Drosophila melanogaster: one gene and its partners. The protein of the gene in region 3 interacts with the protein of the main gene of each other region in a pairwise test. Each region holds a gene or a part of one and is shown on either strand. Other genes may lie near its edges.

The links.
Region 1: the proteins of ics (region 3) and CG9173 interact in a two-hybrid assay, tested with the Drosophila melanogaster proteins (one large-scale study listed by BioGRID).
Region 2: the proteins of ics (region 3) and CG14607 interact in a two-hybrid assay, tested with the Drosophila melanogaster proteins (one large-scale study listed by BioGRID).

The regions. Positions count from the first base shown.
Region 1 is NT_037436.4:1,419,403-1,427,036, reverse strand, and holds CG9173 (uncharacterized protein), read left to right. Parts: upstream 1-3,565; 5' UTR 3,566-3,674; coding exon 3,675-4,976; 3' UTR 4,977-5,838; downstream 5,839-7,634.
Region 2 is NT_033777.3:7,238,646-7,246,212, reverse strand, and holds CG14607 (uncharacterized protein), read right to left. Parts: upstream 4,454-7,567; 5' UTR 4,353-4,453; coding exon 4,310-4,352; intron 3,586-4,309; coding exon 3,539-3,585; intron 3,488-3,538; coding exon 2,372-3,487; 3' UTR 2,207-2,371; downstream 1-2,206. Other genes in the region: Noc3 (nucleolar complex protein 3), read left to right, coding at 1-1,003, 1,062-1,685, 1,742-1,964; thw (thawb), read right to left, coding at 5,526-7,567.
Region 3 is NT_033779.5:13,637,636-13,646,170, forward strand, and holds ics (icarus), read right to left. Parts: upstream 4,968-8,535; 5' UTR 4,385-4,967; intron 3,638-4,384; exon of another isoform or gene 3,636-3,637; 5' UTR 3,614-3,635; coding exon 3,475-3,613; intron 2,847-3,474; coding exon 2,225-2,846; intron 2,162-2,224; coding exon 2,071-2,161; 3' UTR 1,812-2,070; downstream 1-1,811.

The DNA of each region.
Region 1 (7,634 bases), on a different chromosome or scaffold from region 3:
CGAGCATGTCCTCGAATTGCTCGGGACTGTCGCTAGGTGGAGCATAGCAGCTGTAGAAGTGGATTCCTCTAATTTTGGCGTATGCTATGCCGCGCATTGGTACGGTATCCCACTCCTCTACCAATAACCTGGATGTACATTTAATGGCCGCCTTGCCTGTCTCATCGAGTAGCACTCCTGAGTTACCCACACCAGGTAGGTATGGTTCACTCAAAAGCACTACGTCCGCATGGCGCTCCTTCGCTGTTTGAGTCAGGAGGTTCTGTGCTGCTGCGCAATGGTTAACGTTGAGCTGGATGATGTTAATTTCTTCTGGCATCATTTTGACGGCTATTAGCTCCTTTGGTGTTGGCTTTGTAGGTGGGGCATGCAAAACCACCCGTCGCGTGGTTCTTGTCCACGTCACTGCTGCAGATCAGGCATCTTGGTGGGGCTACGCAGCCCTTTGCCTTATGCCCATGCTCGCCGCACCGTAGGCAGCAGTCAGAGCGATCGACTGACTTGCAGTAGGGAGCTCGGTGGCCGAATTCGAGGCATCTGAAGCATCTTATTGGGCGGACGTCTTGGGCTATGCGGCAACGCGACCATCCCACAGTTACAACGCCCCGGTTGATGACCGCAATGGCATCGTTCGCGCACATTAGCACAGAGGCTATCTGGGTCCCGTCACGCCTCCTGCGAAGGCCTCTTACATCCTCTGGTTCCAGGCGGATGCCCTGAAATTGGGAGACCAGGGAATTGTGAAGGTCCTGAGCCGTCGTTGTCTCGTCTAGTCCGCTGCAGATTAGCGCAGTCCTATGCGCGCCCGTGCGAACCGAAGCAATCTCTTTGAGCGTCGCTTCTAGCTCATTTTTAAAGCTGGGGATGACCTCCGAGGCTTTACCTTCTAATTCAAGAAGTAGTTCTCCCTGTTGCGTCCTCCTTATTTTACGCACGTGCTTGCCGAATTCGGTCAGACTCGGTTCTGCTTTCATCTTCCGGAGCATATCCGAGTACGTAACCTCACCCGTTTTTTTCAGGATTAGCGCCTCAGGTTTTTTGCGCAGGCGCTTGGGCTTCACCTTAGCCCATTCCTCGTCCTTGTTAGCGTCCTTGGCGACAGACGCATAACTTTCCGGTTTGGAGTCAGCCGTCGTGGGTAACGCCTTCCCGGTGGATTTCGCGGCAGATCGATGGTTGTCCGTTTTGCGGACCTGCACATTCGGTAATGCCTGTCTGGGTGGCGCCACCTGGCTACGCTTTGTCTTTTCTGCCTCAGTCTGTGTGGCAGTACTCCTTGGTGGGGGCTTCTTGTTGATACCCTCCTGTAACTCAATCGCTCTCTTATTGAGCGCCGATAGGTCCACTAGCACGCCCCTATCCTCGCTGGTTACGTGACGCCTAGTCTCGAACGAGGATAGAATGGCGGTGATCTTGGCTTTCATCATGTCCAGGATGCCCTGCAGGTCCTCATTCTGGAGCGTCGTGGTCAGTTCTGGCGAGCGATGCGGCGATCCTGATGGGGACTTCGCTCCCGCCCTTTGGGCCGGCACGCTGATGAAATCCATTGTCTTCAGGCTTGTGGCTGTCGTGGAGACTGTAGTGGCCAGAGTCTCCACCTCCACAGCTGCACTGCAGTCGCTAGCTTTCGGCGGCGGGGGGCCTGCTTGCTCACCTCCCCCTCCCTGGATTTGGGTTCCGACTCCTCTTATAGGGGATCTCGATAGCCTACCACTCCTCCTAAACGGGTCGTTGGGGTCGGGGGCACTGCCCCCCCCTGTTCTGTCCATCAGATATAAAAGGGGGACTTTGGCTTGTTGGTCCCCAGCGCTCCGTGGGAAATAGAACTAGCTTCAGTTCTTAGGTTATATTTCAAATTTTTGTTCAACTTAATTAGTTCAAATTTGAATTTGAATTCGAATTTCGCGCCCAACGAGCGCGCGGCCGAATGACGATCGCACCGCTGATCTGGCAACGCCAGTCTAACCAGCTCGTCGACTGCGAAAGGTTGGCAATGCTATCAGCTGTATTGTCTGATGCAGCTGATCTGATTTATTACCAGTTTACTGGATCACTCGTGAATTCCGGAACGACACCGTGACGCTCAGAAACGCGGCGCAAACCCCAGAGTGGATTTGCAGGTTTATGTTGCAGTTTACGGCTGACCGGACTCGTATATGACGAAATTCGCGCAGCGCAGCAAAAAGACGTGCGAAATACGCGGGACAATGGATGTGTGTGTGTGTGTGTGTGTGTCTATGTGGAAGGTAAACACATGTCTACTTTGAGGCACAGCAAAAAAAAAAAAATATATATGCAAGTGTCGATGATTTAAGTACATTTATAAGTAGTACGAGCAAAATACGAAATCTATAGCTAGATTGCTTCTTACAACTAAAATCAAGTTTATATCTCAAGGATGTGATATTGTAAGAGAATAGAATACGATTTTTCCCAGTGTGACTTCATCTTCAGCTTATTCCTACCCATCTTGGAGCTGCTGCCATTCATTAATCCACATAGAAATGCCAATGGCAGAGTGAGATGTTGATGGTGAGCTGGTACAGATGGAGATGGAGATGGTGAGGTGATGGTGACCAAAGCGAATGCAAACGAAGGCGGCTGAGGCGGCACAACAACAAAGCGGCCAAGAGGCCTATTAGCCACAATAAAGAGGCAGCCTCACCCCCTTTCGAAATCCCCAATGCTCATACCCCTGGAAATTCTATTATGCAGATGAATGGATGGATATGGGACTAACCATCCGACTGCCTAACTGACTGGGTGTTTGTGTGTTTGCCCCGCCAGATGCCATTACAATGTAAACCCAACAAAAGTTCATTCGGTGGACTTGATGCGGGCATGGATGCGGAGACGTCTTCATCTCATCCACGTACTTCTTCTCCACATATCCGAGGCAGCAGCACTTCCAGCCACCGCAGCGGAACAATTGATCAAATATCATAATTTATCAAATGACAATGCAACAGGCGGCGGCCTCTGAACGTTTACGTTCCCGTATTTGCTTGCCCCAATCCCCACACCAAAGACACCGATCTCCAATTCCCAAATCCCCCCAATCCATTCGAAAGCTACAACTTAATTTATTTGAACAATTTAGGTCTGACACAACAGCCATCGTTTGGCTCTGTCGTGTTCTTTGCGCTTATTTATTTCGATGGTCAGTCGGCTCGAATCTATTTAGCATAATTGCAGCTACGATCAGAACCGAGACCCGAGTCCCGAGATAAAATAATGCATTCTTGTGTGGGGTCTGTGTGTAATCCTAGATAGGGCCACCAGTGGGTCAGATAACCAAATTAAAACAGGCTAGGGAAAATATTGGGACAAACCGATTATTGTTCTATTATGGTAAACTTAGCCATGGCATTAGTTCCAATCGAAATGGGAAGTGCATTCTTCATCGAAGATTGTGCATTCAAATCAAATTGTGTGTCAAGTTTGCTCACAAATTGGTAGGTTTATGGATGCCAGATAGGTTGACAATACTTTTGTATTGGTTAGTTTATGAGCTTTCTTTTCATGGAATAGCCAAAGAATTCGATACAGTAGTCTGCGACTATATGGTCCATCAGAAATCTGTGTATAGCATCTACAATTTTTGTGTTTTGTCAAAAGTGAAATTTAAAGTGATACGTTTGCTGTCTCCTTACTTCATCAACAACCAAATTGCAATGGACAATTATGAGAGGGCCAGAAAACTGCAGGAGGAGGCGGGAGTTCCTCCTGGGGGAATCAAGCGGTGCTGCTGCAACTGCAGGAGAAAGCTGGATCCCTACCAACTGTTTGACGATAATGTGGAGGATATAGCCAAGAGCCTGGCGCAGATAATGCTGATCTGTGGCATCAGCACAAGCAAATCCAGCGCTGCCAGGTCGATAATTAAGAGGGCTTTCGTTTACCATGAACGACTGCGCACCAATTGTCCACCAAATCCGGCTACTGACAGTCGCTTGAATCGGGAGGACCTGCTCCAGGCTCTGCGACTGAAGTGCGAAATGGAACCGGTGGAGGCGATGCTCACCTATGCCATCATCAAGCGGGCCTTTAAGGCCTTCTATCACGGCAAGCCACCGGTGACGATCAGCAATCCCATAGTGGATGCGATGGCGGTGCACACCCAATATGCTGCTTGGATGCATGCGGCGCACAAGACATCCAGGATCTTCGACAACTACAAGGCGGCCTTCTTTTGGGCCCACAAGCACTACGAGAGGCAGATCAATCTGGTTTATGCAGCGCTGTATCAACGGATGACTACCAGATCGGATCCCCTCCTGGTGCCGGGCTGTCCTTGCAAGGGCTGTTCCAAGCAGGAAGTTCCCGGACATCCCAAGGCCGGCCAAAGGCAAATGATGAAGATCAAGCTGTCGGAGGGTGCAGATCTACCAGAACCCTGCATCATCTGTGGCTTGCAAGTTCCGCAAATGGATAAGGAGGTCAGGATGAAGAAGCCACCGCGTCCGATCATCAACCATGAGGTTAATCTACCCAGATGCCAGCAGTGCAATTCGCCCTTCCTCATCTGCGAATGCAACATCGATCAGTTGACGGGCGAGCAGTTTGGCGAATGCGGCCAAGACTCCTACAAGGTGAAGTGGTATCGTCTGGAGGAACCAGTGGCCATTTCCCAACCTGTTTCCCAACCGCTTGGCGAAGAGGAGCAAGATACCAGCTATGATGAAGCTGTGGAACCCCCAGAGGACTGGGACAATCACCATTGTCCCATCGACTGCAAGCACGACTCCTGCAGCGAGTCCTCGAATGTTTGCCACAGCACTTCTTCATCTGCATCTTCGGGCAGTGATTTTGCCACCTGTTCCGACGGCGTGGACAAAGAGGAGGATGTTGTGGCCAAGCTGGAGGATTATCTCAACAAACTGTGGGCCGAGGAGGTGGCTCAGAAGAGGAATCCATCGTATGTGCCGCGAACGATTCATCCTCCTGGTCCGAAGTGTATGAAGTGCAACGACTAATTTTGTACGTTTAAATTTTGGCTATATAAATTATTGAGTGATGAAAAGAGAGCTATTGTTGACCCTTAATAGCCAGAAACAAGTAGTCTAAGTACAGAACGTGTTTTCTCACCTCTGCTACCAAGTTTGGTTCAACGAGCTGCCACCATGCCACCATGCCACCATCCGGGCCACCCACTCCCACACCTGGGGAATCGATCGCCCACACGGGAGCCGGCGCTTATCACACGCCCACAGATCGCGTCTTGACAATGGCCACTTAAAATGCCATTGCCGGTTGTAATCGCCACTAAATTGCTGGCACCTCGGCTTATTCGCGGCTGGAGGACGGAATGGGACGTGGCATTCGATGGGATGGAGCTACTGTTGTCATCGCCGGCTGCTCCGCCCAGCAGCTCCCAGGAGCTTCCACATAAATCGCTGCCTTTATCTAAGCACTTGCATCTCGCGCTGGAACAGAGGCTCCTCCAAGCTGCACCACCAGGATGGTGCGGATCCGCGGATTCGGGCCTGTTCACGCTCCTCGCCGCTTATCAATCTCAGCTCATCTGCACGCAGAACAGAACAGAACCGAACTAAACCAAACTGCAACTAAATGGGCAAAAAGAACCCAAGTCGAAGAACATCTTCTGCGAAAAATAATTCCGCAACTTGTCACATTTTGTAAGATTCAAAGTCGCAGAGACAGGCACTAAACTGCAGACGCCTCTGCGCCAGGGATTCTGGGATGGGCCTGCAATGAAAGGAGTCCTTGACTGTCGGGATTTAACTATTTTTATAGGGTATTCGTAGATAAAGGGGCATACTCGAATGTTAACAGCTACATAAATATAATAATTATTAATGGCAACATATTGATCTTAATTTTATAGATGGTTTATTATTGGTTTAGATTTAAAACTTTGACTTTTTATCATTATCATTCCTGTAGTCGAATCACCCGTGTTTACCCTACATATTTTTGGCTAGGCCTAGACTTCACCCTCGAATTGCCGCCTGCATCTCCATCTGCCTGTCGCTGTGGCATGTTAAACTGGAGTCACATTTGCATATAGATTTATTTTTATGTCCACTGCCTTCGGATGGCTCGTGAACTATTTATGTGTGACGACGATCCAATCGCTTGGGGGAGCGATCTTTGGATGGATCCGCGATCGGTTCTTGCCCAAGAGTTGTGCCATTAAGCGATGCCCATTAAATGTTTGGAAATATTGGAATATCTCTAGATAATGCCACGTCTTGCCAAATTTCTAATTATGATATGCTCACATTGAGTTTCTCTATTAGCCCAGTTTTGATGCGTCTATGTCTGTCTTCCCATTCCAAAAAATTTTTTTTTTTGCTTCGGCATGTGTGTGGTAAACAAAGCTCTCACACTCAATTGAGTGCCACTTTTCGGCTTCGGATGAAACTTGGAGGCAACTTGGTGGAGGCAGTTCAAGAGACGCACGAAACCATTGAACTTTTCAATAGCCATCAAATTTGCGTCTAATGCGAACTGAGACTCGGAAAGTTTCCCGCCATCGTCTTTCAATTTGTTATATCCCTGCATTCAATGCGCACTGCAGCCACTCGAAGTTCACTTTGATAGTTCGAAAATCATTTGCACTCGGAAAATGCATTTGAAGTTTATATATATGAAAAGATAAAACATAAGTTTATCAGATGCCCAAGGCAAGCATTAGAACTTTACAAAATTTCTTTGTGTGTACATGCGGCATCTATCTGCTGCATTGTTGTGGGCCTGAAGCTTAATGGTCTTTTTATAGCTGCTCTTTTTCAACTTCAATTAATGAAGTGTCGAGTTGTTAACACCAAAACACACGCCCAGCTCCCAGTGGTGCAGCCTACTCCCACCGATACCCAATCCCCATGGACCGACCTCTATTTCCAAACATTTCGCCCAGCCGCGGGATGGGAACAAACTTCGCCGCGGCTGCAGGTGGGGGGGGCAGCCGAAAATGTAAACAAACAAATTAAAACGAGCATCGACACGGCAGCTGCAGACTTGGCCTCAGGTGAGAAAACGGGCACACGGAGCCGGGAGTTGGGAAAGCGATGGTCGAAGGGGGGTGGAAAATGCATTTTCACGGCAGCGCCAAAAGCAAACAATCCAGACGGCAGCCGAAGCGGCCAGAAGCTCTTTAATCCCGAAAACTTTGGTAGCACTTAGCGGTTTACGAGGCTGCCGAGCAGGCCCTCAAAGTATTTAGATATCAAAGTGGTAAAGGTGATAAAAAGCCATCCATTCCATCCGCTGCACTTTTGGCGACACTTTGTCGAGATTGAGTTGTTAAAACTGGATGTGTGATTAAAAGTGAAGCTATGACGCTAATTCAACTTTTAGTGGGTAAAGAGGTAAACCCACTCATGGTCTTTAAAATGTAATCCAAAATCTGGTTGACAATTGATTACATCTGGGGTTCCCATGGATAGGAGAAGCCTCTTAGCCCGAACTTCCTATTTATTGATCAGTTAGTACACTTCTCACATCATCCCATTGTGGTTGAGTTTGCTCCGCCGCTTCACGGTGTCCAGCGTGATCCGAAATCAGTGTGGGAAAACAGTTGGAGCGACGTCAACTGAAGCGCCGCTTCCACCTGAAACGCCGAAATAAATGTGGAGAAGGCCGCCGCCAACGCATCCGAGCAGTTGGAG
Region 2 (7,567 bases), on a different chromosome or scaffold from region 3:
AGGCCGCCACCGCCGCTCCCGTCCAAAAACTTATCTCTACCACGGATCTACTTATTGCCCGGCAGCAGGAGATCGAACGCCAGAAGTATCGCATTGGAATCATTTGTTCCGGGCTGCTCGAAAAGCCAGAGGATAAGATGCGCAACTTTCATGCTCTGTACGAACTCATGGACGAAATCAACCCAGCCAGTCGACAGGCCAACCTAATGGCCGTCAGAAAGCTGGCCATAATCTCTGTCACCGAGATATTCAAAGATATCTTGCCCGAGTATCGAGTGGGTCAGGTCGACACCAAGATGCAGACGCTTCGCAAGGCCACTCTTGATCGTGTAACCTTTGAAAACGCCTTGCTTCAACAGTTTAAAAAGTTCCTGCAGAAACTGGAACAGATCACAGCGCAAGTTAACAGGAGAGGTGGTCTAAGGACGCCTCAGACTGTGAAGTTGGCCACCGTGGCAGTACAGTGCATGTGTGACTTGCTTGTGGCACATCCATACTTTAACTACGTTCAAAACATTGCCCAGCTTCTGGTGTATATGCTGAATTGCAATTATGCAGAGATGCGAACGGCGGTCCATCAGTGCTTCCGCACAGTCTTTTCCAACGACAAACGGTTAGAAATGACTCTTTTTATAGTGCGACGCATCAATCACTTGATCAAAACGAAGCAGAACAATGTTCATGTGGAGTGCATCACCTGTCTGATGGGCCTTAAAATCAAGAACGTAAACCTAGATGCCGAAAAGGAGAATGAGCTAAAGCAAAAGAAGCTTGAGTCGCATCGTCAACGCTTACTAAGCTTGTCCAAGAAAGAGCGCAAAAGACGTAAGAAGCTCACCGAGGTTAACAGAGAACTAGAGGAAACCCGTGCCGAGGAAAACAAGCAAGCAAAGCATCAGAAGCTCACCGAGATCATAAAGATGGTGTTTACCATTTACTTCCGCGTGCTTAAGAACGATCCCACCTCCCGCGTGCTGAGCGCTATTCTAGAAGGATTGGCAGAGTGAGTGGTTATTGTAAATCTCTTTCCTGGAATTTTAAATATAGAGGATGATTTTTAGGTTTGCGCACGTCATTAATTTGGACTTCTTCTCCGATCTAATCGATGTGCTCAACCGCATTCTAGAGGACCAAGACGAGCTGGGCTACCGGGAGCGATTGCACTGTGTTCAGACCATATTCGTTATCCTTTCCGGCCAGGGTGAGGTGCTAAACATCGACCCCATCCGATTCTACCAGCACTTTTACCGAAATATGCTGGCGGTGCAGGCAGGCAAAAATCACGATGACTTCGCCATTATTTTGCGAACTTTGGATGAGGTGCTCGTAAAGCGTCGTCGCAATATGAGCCAGCAGCGTCTAATGGCCTTCATGAAACGCTTGCTTACTGGAAGTCTGCATCTGCTCCATAATGGCACCCTGGCCACGCTTGGCACAATAAAACAAACCTTCCAGCTCACTTCTGTGCTTGACAACCTATTGGATACAGACACTACGATAGGCTCTGGTCGTTACGATCCCGAACTGGACGATCCTGAGTACTGTAACGCAGCAAGCACAGCGCTGTATGAGCTTGCGCTTCTGGCACGTCACTATCATCCCACGGTGCGACGGATGGCCGTTCACATTGCTCATGGAGTGCCAGCAACGGGCGAGGGAGCTTTGCCCACGGAAATTGGCAAACTGTATGTAATAAGACGGCAACTACATATGTGACTCTAACAATTATTACTTTCCTTAGTACCTCCCACGAGCTGTTTACGCAATTCGACAGCACTCAGATGGCTTTCAATCCGACAATACCGCTGCCAAAAGCGGGTCAACCAAAACTAAAAAGGGGCAAACACTTATATATTCGCTCGGACTTCAAACAGGAGTACGGAAAACTGCTGCAGCAAGGAAAAGTTTCACAGACGAAGGATAAACAAACCTTACAAATTGATTTTTTCAGTGCACTTCAATAAAGAAAAATTTGAAGATTGAAGTAGAGTTATAATGACTGCGGAATAGTGTGGAAAGAAATGCAATTTTTAAACAATACCCAACTTGTTTCCCAATATTAAACATTCTTCCAAATACGTTCTCAGTTAAAGGAAGAGAATACCAAGTGTGATACCAGGATTTGATTAGCCAGATAATAATCGAACAAATTTGTTGTTAAATCAGAAAGGTGCGAGTTGGTTTTAAAACATGAAACCATTCATTTGCTTAGAACTTCTCTGTAATATATTTCAATTAATGGGATTTTTACAAGTTATTATGTTTGGAGCTCCTAACATTCTATATAGAGGCTAAGTCTAGAGTCACTAAGAGTAGTGTCATATAACCGGGTACAAGTCCCAGGGGTTCGCCAGAATTTTTCATTCGCTACCTATGCATTGGTGCCTCCTCGTTGTCGCTGTTGTCCAACGCTAGCTGGTGGCAGATACTCTCTATTCCCGCCCGACTGCTGTTGCCCGAATCCAGCCACTGAACTCTCGGGAAGAGCTCCGGCGGCAGTGGCCAGAAGCCCGACAGCAGCTCCCGATGGCGGTAATCGATTGGCTCCAGTGCTCGGGACAATGGCGGGACGAAGGACAGCCCCAGCGCCATACGGGCTTTGGGGCTGAGCGGTTGGGGTGGGCGTGGCTGAAGGATAGGACCCCCGGCCGGAGTTATATCCAGCAACCTGAGACACTCCGGTGGCTCGAAGTGTTCCAGTCGTGGCCAGAGGTGCCCCGAAGGCAGCCGAGGAAGAAGCGGCCGGACGGTAGACGTTGTTGGTATTCGATGTTCTCAGATTGGAGCCACTTCTCTCGGAGTAATCATAGATATAGGCATTGTTCGCATATAAGCTGGGCGCCGAAACGCAGTCGTACTGGTTCCACCACACACAGACTAATGTCTCCTGGCTGAAGACTGTGCCATTGGGACACAGGAAGGAGTAGGTCCGGTTGAGGGCACAGATATGGAACACCTGGCATTGGGCCTCTATGTCCGCATAATAGCCGGGTAGGGGCTGTTGCGCACAGTCAAAGTTGGTGCGCGGCACCTGGGCATAAATAGGATAATCCACTCCAGGAACACCCGGAATGGCCGAGTAGTCTCCATCGGAATCGTTGTAGTCCCCGCTGTCTCCCGTTCCACTAGCAACTCGGATTGGAGATCCACCGGGAGTACCTCCATACTGCGAAGCCTGCGGTCCATAGGGTCCACTGCGAGATGATGGGGTAGATAATCCGCCAGATGAAGTTCTTCTCGGTGGGTTAACGGGGTTTGTGGCTCCTACAATGGCGGGTGCTCCAAAAGCAGTGGTAGCCTGTCCACTTGGCGTAAATCCAACAGCGGGTGAGGGAAACAAGCCTGCTCCATATGCAGTAGGAGCCGGAGCGGGAGTAAGTGGCAGGGCTGGTGCTGTTGGATATGGTGCAGGTGTCAAGCGACCACCAGCTGTGGCTCCTCCTACATTGGCTACCTCGGGACGCCCATAGTTGTATCCACTTTGAGCCTATAAAAGCGCGGATTACAGTTAAGAAAAGAGAATCTCCTTATAGCTTACCTGGACTTGCAACTGGGCTAATCCGCCACTCCAGAGCAACACCAAAACTGGAATAAAGAGACGGGCCAACATTAACGCTTTCTAACCGTCCGTGGAATCTGGCGAAGATCTGCTCCGAGCTGTGGAACTGGCGACGCACCAAATCGAAATGAACGCCCTGGCAGCCATCGATGGCGATGGCAGCGAAGAGTTTCGCAGCCCCTATTAAGGCCAAGTACGTTGTGATTCTGGGAGCTGATAGCGCGGCTTAGATGGTTCTGCACCGCGATCTTTATTTTTCAGCTTCCTACTCCTACATCGGGGGCACAGTGGTCAAAAGCTTCACTATTGCATTTACAGACAATCGGGGCATTTATCAAATTAACTATACTTTAAGCATACAAACTAGAAACAATTTTTTTCGAAAATGTTTAGTGCACAATTGTAAATGCTGTTGCTTGATTCATTTAGAAGATTCAATATGTTTCTTAATTTTATATTTTGGTTAATCTCTTCATTGTGAATTGAGTTGCATACACTGTGCCAGTTGCTGAAATAACGCACTGCAACATCAATTGGCTTGCAAGAATTGCGGCAGCCGGTGGGCCAAAGGCAAGACGCATGCCTCGTAAATATGCAAGGCAGCAAAAACTTAGACAGACAGACGCCCCTACAAAGGAAGTGCTAATAGTGATCGGAATGATGGGCCGTACAGCCGATCGCTCGTCACTGTTGAGTTACGCGCCGCAGTGGGTTGGGTCTGGGTCAGCGCCGACTGGTTGGCCAACTCACCTGCCAAGACGCACGAACAGCGTTGCAGGGGCACTTGCATCATGCAGCAGGAGATTCCGAGCGGACGAGCTTATCCGAGTCTAATATTCGGCTTATCCTTTTCGACCGGCGACCTGTGAACTGTCCAAAACTTGGGAAGTTACTGCGGGCAAGCTCAGAACGATCTTAGAAATATATACGAATTTGAAAGCGCGACTTGGATGCGGCATCTTTACCATATTTATGTGGCAGCTGCCCCAAAGACCAACGACAGTTCGTCAGTTAGTGTGTGCTGCTTGCGCTTTGGCAGATTTACGACGCTGGATTATCCATTGTTCGGGGACTGCGGCCAGTTATCAGAATTCATATATCAGCGAGACCCTACATGACGTATACGTAATATAAGTTACGTATACGTTGATCAATTCAATATAATAGCCATTTCAAGTGCAATGTAATTGCAATCTGATTCTACTTGTCCTTGCGAGTGGGAAATTCGATTTTCTTGCAAATGCATTCAACAGCTATGGTAAAAATATTTAAATTTCGACTGATTACATGATCGGCCTGACCTTACCAAAGATTTATATTAGAGCTGGAAAACGCAAAAGCCAATGGATTTATGTCAAGGCGATCGCAGAGTCTCTGTTGGGCTGTTGGGATTAACCAAGCAGACTTATTGAGAGGCCAGCTAAGTGGCAGTAGTAATAGTTTAATCAGTTAGCTGGCCAATAACCATTCATCACCCATCTCCAAAGTATTACGCTTATCTTTTCATTTATTTTTATATGTACTTTATTAAGTTTAAATAAATATTTACAAACAGACATCAAGACGTACAGATGGTTCAAATAGATCGCTCCTACTGGATACTCTGGTTGGAAAGTGTTCTCGTTCGTTAAGACTAAGCAGTAAGAAACTAATTTAATACAACTCTCGATTAAACTTAAACGGAAACTGCTTGGCTGGGCATCAGGAACAACCAAGTCTATGCCTGTTTTGGGCGTGGGAGTATTTCAGGGCTCTCATCGTCGAGTATTTCGATTACATATTTACAAACTAATTGCGCAATTGCATTGGCTAAACGAAGTCGATTAACAAGTAACTGGTTCAGAATCCAAATAGTTATAGGATGTTTTAGATTAAAGAAATTCAAACTGAATTGAAGAGGGGGAAGTGGAGTTGACTAAAGTTAGGCATTAACTCGCAAGGTCTAGGAACCGCCACCGTCCTCGCTCTATCGCCTGCTGCTGAACTTGGACGCCAGCGAATATAATGACTTGAGCAGCTCCAGGGCCCTGCGGTCCGAGTTGACCTCCAGTAGAGGGGCCGTCGTCGTCGTGGCCTCCTCCAGATCCTCGACGCGTATCTCGAACTTGGTGGTCTCCTCGTAGCTGCCTGCCCCCAACCCTGTCGTGGTGGGCAGATCCGTGGTTGTCGTATAGCCAGGCGTGGTACTGGTGAAGTATTCGGCTGCGGCGGCGCCACCACGTCGGAATGTGGTCACTGGGATGCGGTTGGTGGTGGTGGTCAATCTCTGCCTGGAGGTCTTGCCTCCAGCATGTGTTTTGCTATCAATATCGATTAGTGCGTTTAGCAGGTGCTTACGGCTCCTTTCCAGCGCCTTGCCATTGTGGTCATCGCAGGTCTGGATGAGCAGCAGCAGCAGACTTAGTACCTGGCGATCGTGCTCCGCTTTTGCCATGACGTTGCGCAGGTGCAGTGCCTCCTGTTCGTTGAGGCCACCGAACAACTTATTGGCAATCCTCTGCAGCCCACTACTGGAAGGCAGTGCGTCCCTGGGAATGTCGTAGCTACGGAAGATGTCCTCCCACTCGTAGCGAGATGGCGTGGGTGTGGTCACCCTGTAGGCAAATGGTGATGCTGTTGTAGAGGTGGAGGTTGTGGAACTGCTAGTGGAAGTTCTTTGCTCCTTCATCAGACCATCGTTGATGGTTAGGGGATCGAGGAAGTCCGTTTGCGACTTGAGTGCCCACGGATGCTCAGTGGGCTTGTGGGTCGTAACTAGCTTTTGAGGTCTAGCATCCTTGAGCAGATCGTTGCGAGACTTTACAAACGATTGCGTTTGCTGTTGCTGCAGAAACTCCTCTCCGGAATCCTGACTTGGCGGCGAAAGCTCCCCAGAGAACTCAAGGCCGCGATTCGTGCTACCTTCGTACAGCTCAGTGGTGGTGGAGAACTCTGGGGCCAGAGTAGAATCGAATTTATGGTTTATTTCCGCTGCAATGCTGTTCGGTGTGGGGGTGGTCGCGTCCGGCAATCCCTTGGTGGGCAGATAATACTTGGCAGTTCCATCACTGAAGAGCGACGGATCCGTTGTGGTCACGGGCTTAAAGTTGGGAGTACTTGGTGGCTCCGTAGGGCGAGCTCGGGCAGCCAGTTCCGCACGGAAAGTAGCTGGGTTATCAAGATAGCTGGACAAAGCGTTGGAGAAGATTTGAGCGATCTTTCGAGTTTCGGGTTTCTCCGCCAGTGCGCCAATGGTGGATCCAGTGCTGCCTATCTGCGGGTACTGCTGGTATTTCGATCCCGCTTCTGATTGGGTTCCGTTGGTCTGATTAGAGAGTAAGCCCGAACTAATATCCGACTCGCCAGCACCACGACCTTGGGCCGACTTCAGTCCAAACAGATTGCTGTACTTCTTCACGGTAGTATCACTCAGAAGACTCTTCTTGATATCGTCCGCATTGTCACTAATGGCTGGAGGATTCTCCGAGGTGGTTAGTAGAGCAGTGGTGTCCGATGGCTTGATAGTTGGAAGTGGTGGCTTCACGGATAGCTTGGTTTGAACACCAGTTTTGTCTACCTTCTCCGACTTATCCTTCTTACTCAGGGAATTAATAGTTTCATTGTGCTCTTGTGCAAAGTATTTGGCAAATGAAACCAGGGCATCTGGACCGGAGGAAGGTGGAATCTCTAGGCCAACTCTAGCGGGAGCTGCCGCCGCAGCATTTAGCTCCACGTCCTCGAACTGATCCTTCAAGAGATTCATTGTTTTCAGCATATCCTGAACATTGCGGAAAACAGACTCTTCTTTTACAGGATTGGGGGCGAACAACAAGACATCCTCTCCAGCTGCACCGCCGGTATTCACTCTTGGCGACTTTCCACTCATGGGCAAATAAGTTGGACCGCTACTAGCGGCCGATGGTGAAGGTGTAGTTGGCAGATAATCCCGACTCTCGGTGGACTTCGACGGGGGTCGGAACTCGCCGGAACTGGCCACATCATAGTGATGGCGCATGCCAATGATGACCG
Region 3 (8,535 bases):
TAAATGTAATTTTTATGCTAATTATTTTTATTTAAACAGTGTTTGTATGCCACAAGGGAAAACAGCCAGCAACAAAAAGAAAAATACAAAAATAACACAAAAAAGGAGAAAAATTTCGTAATACAGAAAAAGCTGAAAGTGAATGATATTTTTGATTAACTAAATTAAAATGAAAATACGAATGCAAATTATGAATAATAAAAGTAATTAAAAACGACAACATGCATAATACATATAAAGTTGCAAGTTGCATATATATACATTTGTATGTATATATTTATTATGGATACACAATTATTAAATAGCAGCAGCCACAACAAACAAGTAATATACATGAAGAAAAACTAAGGTTTAATTGTATGAGAAAGCATTCTATATGTCGGTGAGATTTCTAAGCGCTAGGCCGAAATACAAAATTAATTACACACTTGAATAACAAAATGTGTTTTGTACAAAAAAAATGAAATAAACAAAAACAGTGCGAATTAATTAAGCGTCATTATAAAAAAAAGAACGGAAACAACAAAGCATTTAAATTGTATTTATCTGTACCGAAGGCTAAACGTTTATTTAAAGCCGTCAAAATTGCATTTGTAAACTAGCAAAACAAAAAAAAAACGATGAAAACCAAAAAGTATGAAATCCATAATTATTAAATAAAGAAGCGAGACTTAAACAAAAACGGTGGAAACAATCCAAACTTATTCATTTGTTGCTGAACGCATTTTTCTGTATGACTTTCGAACGTGGCTTTGATTGTTTTCCGTATACATTTTCCTTGTGCAGAAAAAGCAAACGAAGTAACTAATTTTTATATTTCATGTATTTTTACTATCTTAGGTACAATTTTCTATTGTCAATTTTTATTAGTATTAGGTTTAAAGCTTTATGTTTTAGCAATCTGGTAGCAAAACTGCCAATGATGATTATGTTTAATGTTATCTATCATATACGTGTATATCTGCCAACATATAAATCTATTTTTATGTAAGTATCTTAAAGTGCATAGATCATGCATATATGATACTATCGAGTGCTTGTAATTTGCTTTGTTGTAGTCTCATAGGTTACTAGTTTATGTTTTTTGTTTTTGTCTGTGTTTCGTATTTGCATGCTCAAGAACTAATCGTGCAACTACTCACGGAGTCCCGACTGATGTACTACTCCAAGAAAAGACATTTATAGCTTGAAAGCTATATGATATTATTTTTGAAACCCTTGTCTTCGTTTCCATTCGCACATCCAACTTGTATATCGTGACGCATAGCTATGGAATTATCTCAATTCGAATTTACAAGACGTTTCCGTGCTATCATTTTGGAGAAATTTACTGAATAAATGAATTTACATTTTTGTTTGTTTTTCTGCCAGACTTTTCGTAAAAGAACATCTTTAACTCTTGTAAATAAACTCTATAAAAAATATATAAATATAAATACTAAAATATACTTTAAGGAATAAATTAAATTTGAATTGCAGATACAGTGAAGGCGAAATACGTTTACAAAATAATTAAATAACATAAATTGATAAAAAAAAAATGTATTCAATTCAAATTGACAAGTGAAAAAATGCAAAGAAACGAAACAAACTCAAAGCGAACAAAGCAGAACTATGCTTTTAGTTTTTCTCAAACATAGAAAACAAAGAACAAAAACAAAAAACATTTAACTATTAATTTAATTAAAATAAATAAAGAATTAATTAATTGACTTTAAGTAAACTAATTAATTATGATTATGAACAAATTTCTTAAAAAAGAAGAATGAATATGAGAAAAGATAATAAAAACAAGAAAAACCTACTATTTTATAAAATATACAAGCGTGTCTTTATTTAACGATTCTTTTGCGCATAGGATCCGAAATTAAACCAGCAGGAATACATATATGCATCTATTATTTTGTTTTATTTTCATTAGTGAAACTAAGGGTCAAGGCACATTGCAGAAATACGCATTAGTTTAAAAGTACTTATAAATTAGTATACGAAAACGGGTTTGGTTAACAACGAACGAGACGAACACATTTGTAATTCCATGGGATCTTGGGATCTTCTGGTGGAGAATCACTATGCGCGAATTCGAGAGGCCTTCTTGCTTTTGTCAGCTTTGGGTGGCGGCGGTCCACTGCGTCCTGCTTGCAAGTGGCGGTTGTAGATGCTGTCAAGGAAAAGGATCAGATGAATATACATTTATGGATATATGGATCTATGGTGCACTCACATCTTATAGGTCTCCGTTTTGAGGTAGTCGATGACGTGACTAATGCCCAGCAGATATTGCTCGGCGATGGGATTGACCCAGGGATTCTCCTCCATCTTCATGACCGACTTGTTGCTCAGTAGGTCCAACTGGGCGATCTCTGGTGGCAGCACCTGCAGCCTATTGTTTTGAATATGTAGCTCCCGCAGTCGCACCAAATCCCCAACTTCGCGGGGCAATTCCAGAAGATCGTTGTCACGCAATCCGAGTATCTGCAGATTCTTCAGCTGACCCACCTCCTTCGGTATATACTCGAAGTCATTGTCGCCCAGATACAGAGCACGCAGTGTCTCCATACCAAAGAAATTACCAGGCAGGACCTGTTCGTTGAGATTGTTGTAGGACAGGTCGAGCACTTCCAGCACCGGAAAGGCTCCAAAGCCGCGAGGAAGATTTATCAGCCGATTGATGGACACATTGAGGATGCGTAGCTTTGGCATGGACGACAGCGAAACGGGCAGTTCGGTCAGCTGGTTGTTCGAGAGGTTCAGGATCTCCAGATTCAGTAGGTTCGCGATTCCCGGACTGATTACGCTGATCTTGTTGTGGGACAGGGTCAAGCGCGTGATGTTGGACATGTTGACTGCAAAAAAAATTATATTAATAAGAATACTAAACTCTTTAAAATACATATTTTTCCTTTTTCGTGATATCAAAGATTGTTTTTCATAATTGTCCAATGCACTGTGAATTCACCACTGGGTTTAAATGCAAACAGCTGATTGCAGGCAACAAGTATAGACGCCGAATGTTGGAGCGGGACAACAATATAAGCAGAGGCATGCGCAATGTTTTTTTTTTCTCAAAAATTTAATGGTTTTAAGATTAATAATTGTAGTATATTCTAATTTTATGTAAATGAAGTCATAGTTATGGAGTTGTAGTACATTTCCCAGATATGTATACACATCTTATTTGCGGTATTTACAGTGTTTGTTTACGTTCTCTACACTCAAACTTATGCATATTTTGCTGCTGGCGTCATCACAATAAATAAAACTAAGCGACTCCATTTAAAAAGATGCTTAGACTCATTTTAAATGAATATTATTACCACAACATAAATACATACGCTAGAATATTATTAATTTACAATTTTTTTAGCAGCTGGGCGAGGCTCCATTCTGCGTGGAAGTAACCCACCATTATGTTTACTCAGAAGTGCAAAAATCCGTATAATTCCTTCAAGATCCTTTGGTTTTGATACTTACACAGTCCGGGCAACTCCTCGAAGGACGACAGCCCCTTGTCGGCCAAATCCAACTCGGGATTGTGAGTTTCTCGGGCTTCATCCAAAACCTTCTTTGCCTTCGACATCTTTGCGCTCACTGGTATACAAGACTGACTCATTTTCGTTGATTCCTAATACGCCCTAAAAAATACCAGAACAAAATATACATTTCTAATTAATTATTTTGAAGGTTAGTCAATAAATTTTTATTTCTAAAAGCAGAATAGTAAAAGAATTTGGCAAACTAATTCTATGCTTTTTTAAATTTTGTAAGCAATTTTTTTGTAATGTGAGCTATTATATCTGTTATATGTATTTCAGGGCTGCCAGACAAGTAGAAATATGTAATTTTACATCGACAGGAAGCAATGTAAGATATTGTAAATGACTTAATCGAATAATAAGTATTGAGCTCATTTATTAAATAATATTTATATTTATATTATTTAAAAAAAAAGATGTTCATTATTCATTTGTATCTACTTATATATGAATGTGAAATCAAAGCTCACCAAACAATTGTTGATAAAAAGGTACCAACATAAATTTTACGCGCGTTCGATGTATGTTATCATATCTACATGTAGAAAGTGTGTTTACTTGTGATTGGTAAAAACTTAATTGTAACGTGTTTTATTTATTGAATTTATAATAACATGCATTCTTTAATAATATTGATATAATTTTGTTTATTTTTACTTTGCTCGATTAATGAAATATTCAAATGTCTTAAAGGACTTAACATTATTATTATGTATTATGTTAAATTATGTATTAATTTATGTATTAAATTAAAATATAAAATATTGTTGTAAAATGTATTTATTTTTATTTTTATATATTTTTCGTGTAGTTGGTCTAAAACTAAGTAATGAACCACAATTACTTACAGAGTAATTCTAAAACTGTTTTGGCAGCCACTTTCAGTAGCTCTCAAACTGCGCCAACTGCACTTTTTGTTAGCATATGTTTTTCTTCGGTCAGTTTTCAGCACTTTTCATCCACATGAAAACGAATTTAAACGTTTTTTAGGTCACTATGTTACACAAACACTGCACTTGACCTATTTTTGTAGGAAAACACCAAGGCTTTTCATACTGTATGCGTAAAATTGTTGAGTATCTGGACGAATTCGTACTGATTTCTGCAGATTATATGGCACTCACGTTACAGAATGGAACATGGGTTCCTATTAGAATACGTCTCCGCTCTTCGAAATTAATCACGAAAATAGACCCAAAGTGCGGAATGCGTCGTGCGTCGTCCGATCGTCTCGAGAAACTGAGAAGATCTCTCGCAGCGTCAGCAAGATCGATCGATGTGGATGTGGGCGAGTTGGAGGTGATGGGGGATCCGAATAATAGCTGGGGGCTGGTTTTTGCCTTTTTCGATTGTCGCCACTGCCGGCAGACAGGAAAAAATAAAAAACAAATCGAACCCAAACTCAATACCGGGTTTTGTTGATTTTGTTTAAAGTATTTCGCTTTTTCTCCAGCATCTTCACTACAGTGTCGAAACCAGTTTGAATTATATCGAAAAGACAAAAAACAGGCATAACTAAAGCATGAAATCTGTGGTTTGTCGACTTGGAAATAGGCGCTTTGTTGATTAGTTAATTACACAGTTGATTAATATCTTAAATGCAGCCATCTCGTTGACGCATATAAGATTTTAATATGATTTATCACATCTCCATGTGAAGTGAGACATCATGACTTTTTTCGCTATATTTTACGTTCTTGCCTTACTTCTGCTGCTCACACCATATACACATGAAAGTAAACTTCGATATATTAGTGAGTAAGGACACGACTTGGGATAGTAAATATAAAGCTAACCGTTGTAATAAGCTTGCAGGCGCAAAAGTGGAAAGTGGGGACGTTGCATTATAAAACAATCGCCATGTCCTGGCATTACCCATTTAAATCGCGTTTGCAATTCGGCAGCCATTTGCTGTGTGCCTGAATCTCAAAAAGTCTGGGACAATATAAGCTATTTTAAGCGCTTAGAACCGAAAGAAAACAATATAGAAACAGTAATAATAAAGTAAGTCTGTTTCTTATTACTTAGCCACTTAAGAATTTTATACCGTTATAAACTGAAAACTGCAGTGCAATAAGAAATGAGCTTAGAGCACATTTAATAAAATATCAATTCAATATAGTCATGTTGGCTTTTACCCTTTTTAATGCATTTTAGTTTAATTTTCTTTTCTTTTTTAATAGTTTTTATTAGAACTGCAAGCTGAGACATTTCTTCAATTTTATCTATTTGATGGATGCTAGATGCAAATTTTGAAGGGACTCAGATTTCTGGGCTGCAAACATGGCCGATATGATCTCCTTCAGTACAAGCTGCTCGGGGTTTTTCTGCTCTGGCCATTGGCTGTATTTTTAATTACTCTGCGGTGCTCCAGTTGCCGATGCAGTTTTGGATCTCAGAAATACGTAGGAACTAGATGTTTGTGTGGGTGGGGGGGCAACCCCGTTTTTTGGCTTTCGTATTAATTTTCATCCCGCCGGTTGTCGAATCCGCAAAACAGAAAGTTTGTCTTATGCGCCTGCATAATTTGCGTGTTGCACATACCATTTTTTTCGCTTTTTTTTTTTTTTTTTTGGGTTGGGGTAGTTGGCATGATGGCGAGTGCCTTTGCCGTATACACTTCCGCCGTATAAAATATGCAAAACAATGCAAACTCTCGCCTGGCCAGCAAACAACAACAACAACAAGAACAACAGCAACAGCAATGGGAGGGAAATAAAAACTTTCCCTGGCCCAAAAATTAATTTTTGTTTTAGATGGCGCGCAGATTTTTCGGCTGCATTTTTGGCTGCACTGCTAATGCTGCGGCACAGTCGCCACCAAACGACCGCCGGCCACTGTCCGTAATTTTTGTTTTAATTAACTTTTTGTTTGCCTTTTTTTCCTGCTGACAAACTTTTGCAGCTCGGCGCAAATTGTGCTAATTTTGAAATGGTGGCCAAAATGTTTGGAAATACATAGTTTATGCTCAGTTCCACTCATATTAATATATGATTGCAATTAAGGCATTGTATTGTATTGTGTAGCAAAATCAAAGCCTGAGAAGTGTCCTTTGTTAGGTAATCGATTCTTTCATAAAATTATATTGAACTTTGCAGTTCGATTTTCTATGTAAAATTCTAACCGCAATAGCGACCAAAAACCATAAATTCTTCATTGCCAAGCTCGCTTAAATTCCAAATTGGACATTTGGCGGCCATAAATTCGCATTAAGTGTTTACTTCGTTTAAATGTTATCCATGCCAATGTGCGAATGTGCGTAGGAGCGGCAAATAATCGATCCGGATTCTAGTTAATTGATGGCACTTGCCTGCCCTCACTAATTTGTGTCCCTTTCTCACGGAATTGAACGACCACAGTTCGAAAGAGTTGTCGGCTGATTGAATAGCTTCAAGTGGGCTTAAAGTGGACCGAATAATTCGATCCGACTGTTGGCAACAGAAATATAACATCCTCTCTTATGGAGCTGTCAGCACACGGACATGGGCGCATACTTTTGGCCGGCAGTGTCCGGCCGTTGGGCGCTTACTATATTCCTGGCAATTTTTCAATGCGCTTTGTTTGGCCAGTTCCAAGGCAACTGGCATAAAGCCCGATAGCGAAAGGACCTGCCAGGACATGGCAATCATTGGCAACGGTTGCTTTGCAGCCTCAATGAGGCTTCGACCACAGAATGTGCCTTTTGCTTTTGGCCTGCACTTACTTATCCGGCTACCAGGCATCCCCCCGTCTTCCATAACAACCATTTCCCCCCCAGCGCCGTGCCGTTTGATTTACTTCAAACAATTGGCAACATCATACATCAACGCGCTTTTGTTTTTGTTCTGAGCCTTCTTGTTATCCCTTTCCGTTGGGCAAATCCTTCGTCTTTGTAAAAAGGTTTATCGGTTTTTGGACCTCTCGTTTTGTCCAATTTTGTCAGATTTTGATGCATGCTTTACCTTACATTTGAATTGCTTGTTTATCTGAGTATAATTAATACATGTTTACAATTTAAAGCAATTTGCTACATTTGTTAAATATTTGTGCGAAAAAAAGTTATTTAATATGCACACGCATATGATGGGAAAACTAATCCATTTTAATTAAAGTAAATAAAATTGTACTTTCACAGCGATAGTGGTCAGCAGAGCAAACAGAGGGATTATGCAAGCATTACAGAATGAGAAAGAAGCGATGTAAAAAAAGTACACAAACGCAAAAACGAATCAAACGGGAATAATTATTGTAGTTCAGCGGTGGGGCAAGGTTAGATAAACGGATTTAAATTACGCACGTTTTTTTTTTGGTCTTATGTAAAATGCATTATTCATAATTATGAGCACGGCAAATAAATAAAATGTCACATTAATTTGTTGACAATGGCGAATTTATTAGCCGCACACAGGGCTTAAATTGTGTAGCTTACAAAGCTATTAATTAGCCCTGAGCTGGAATGCAGACTGTCAACAAATATTTAGCTGCTCATTAGTTGCGCCCGAAAGCCAAAATTCCGTGTCAGCCCGACCGACTGCATTAAGTATACGCCGCATATGACCGACAGAATCTGCACCTTATTAGGATTCAGATTGAGTAACGCCGCCTCGCCTCGATTCGTCTGAAGTCAGCTTTGGCTCCAGTCTTCCGCAACTCTAGCCGCAGAAGCAAATGGGATAAAAGACACACGGAAAATGGAAAAATGTGCGAGCTGGGGAAAACTACTTGTTATTCAGTGCGTTGAGCTTCGTTTAGCTGGGCGAAATGTTTTAGAACTCGTTAGAGCGTCCAAGGACTCGGCAGAGATTGAAACAGGGTCCTGAAAGGCTGCTGCCTCATCAATGCACTCCTTCCACAGCTCCGAGTCATTGAATATCACTGGGTAATTGACTTACTATCAACTGTTGCTGGCTGCGCATTTTTGGTCAGATGACAGGGATAATTATGTTACTGTCTTGGCCACAATTTTACATAGGTCTACATGTTTGCAACCAAAGAAATGTGTGAAAACATAAATCATAAA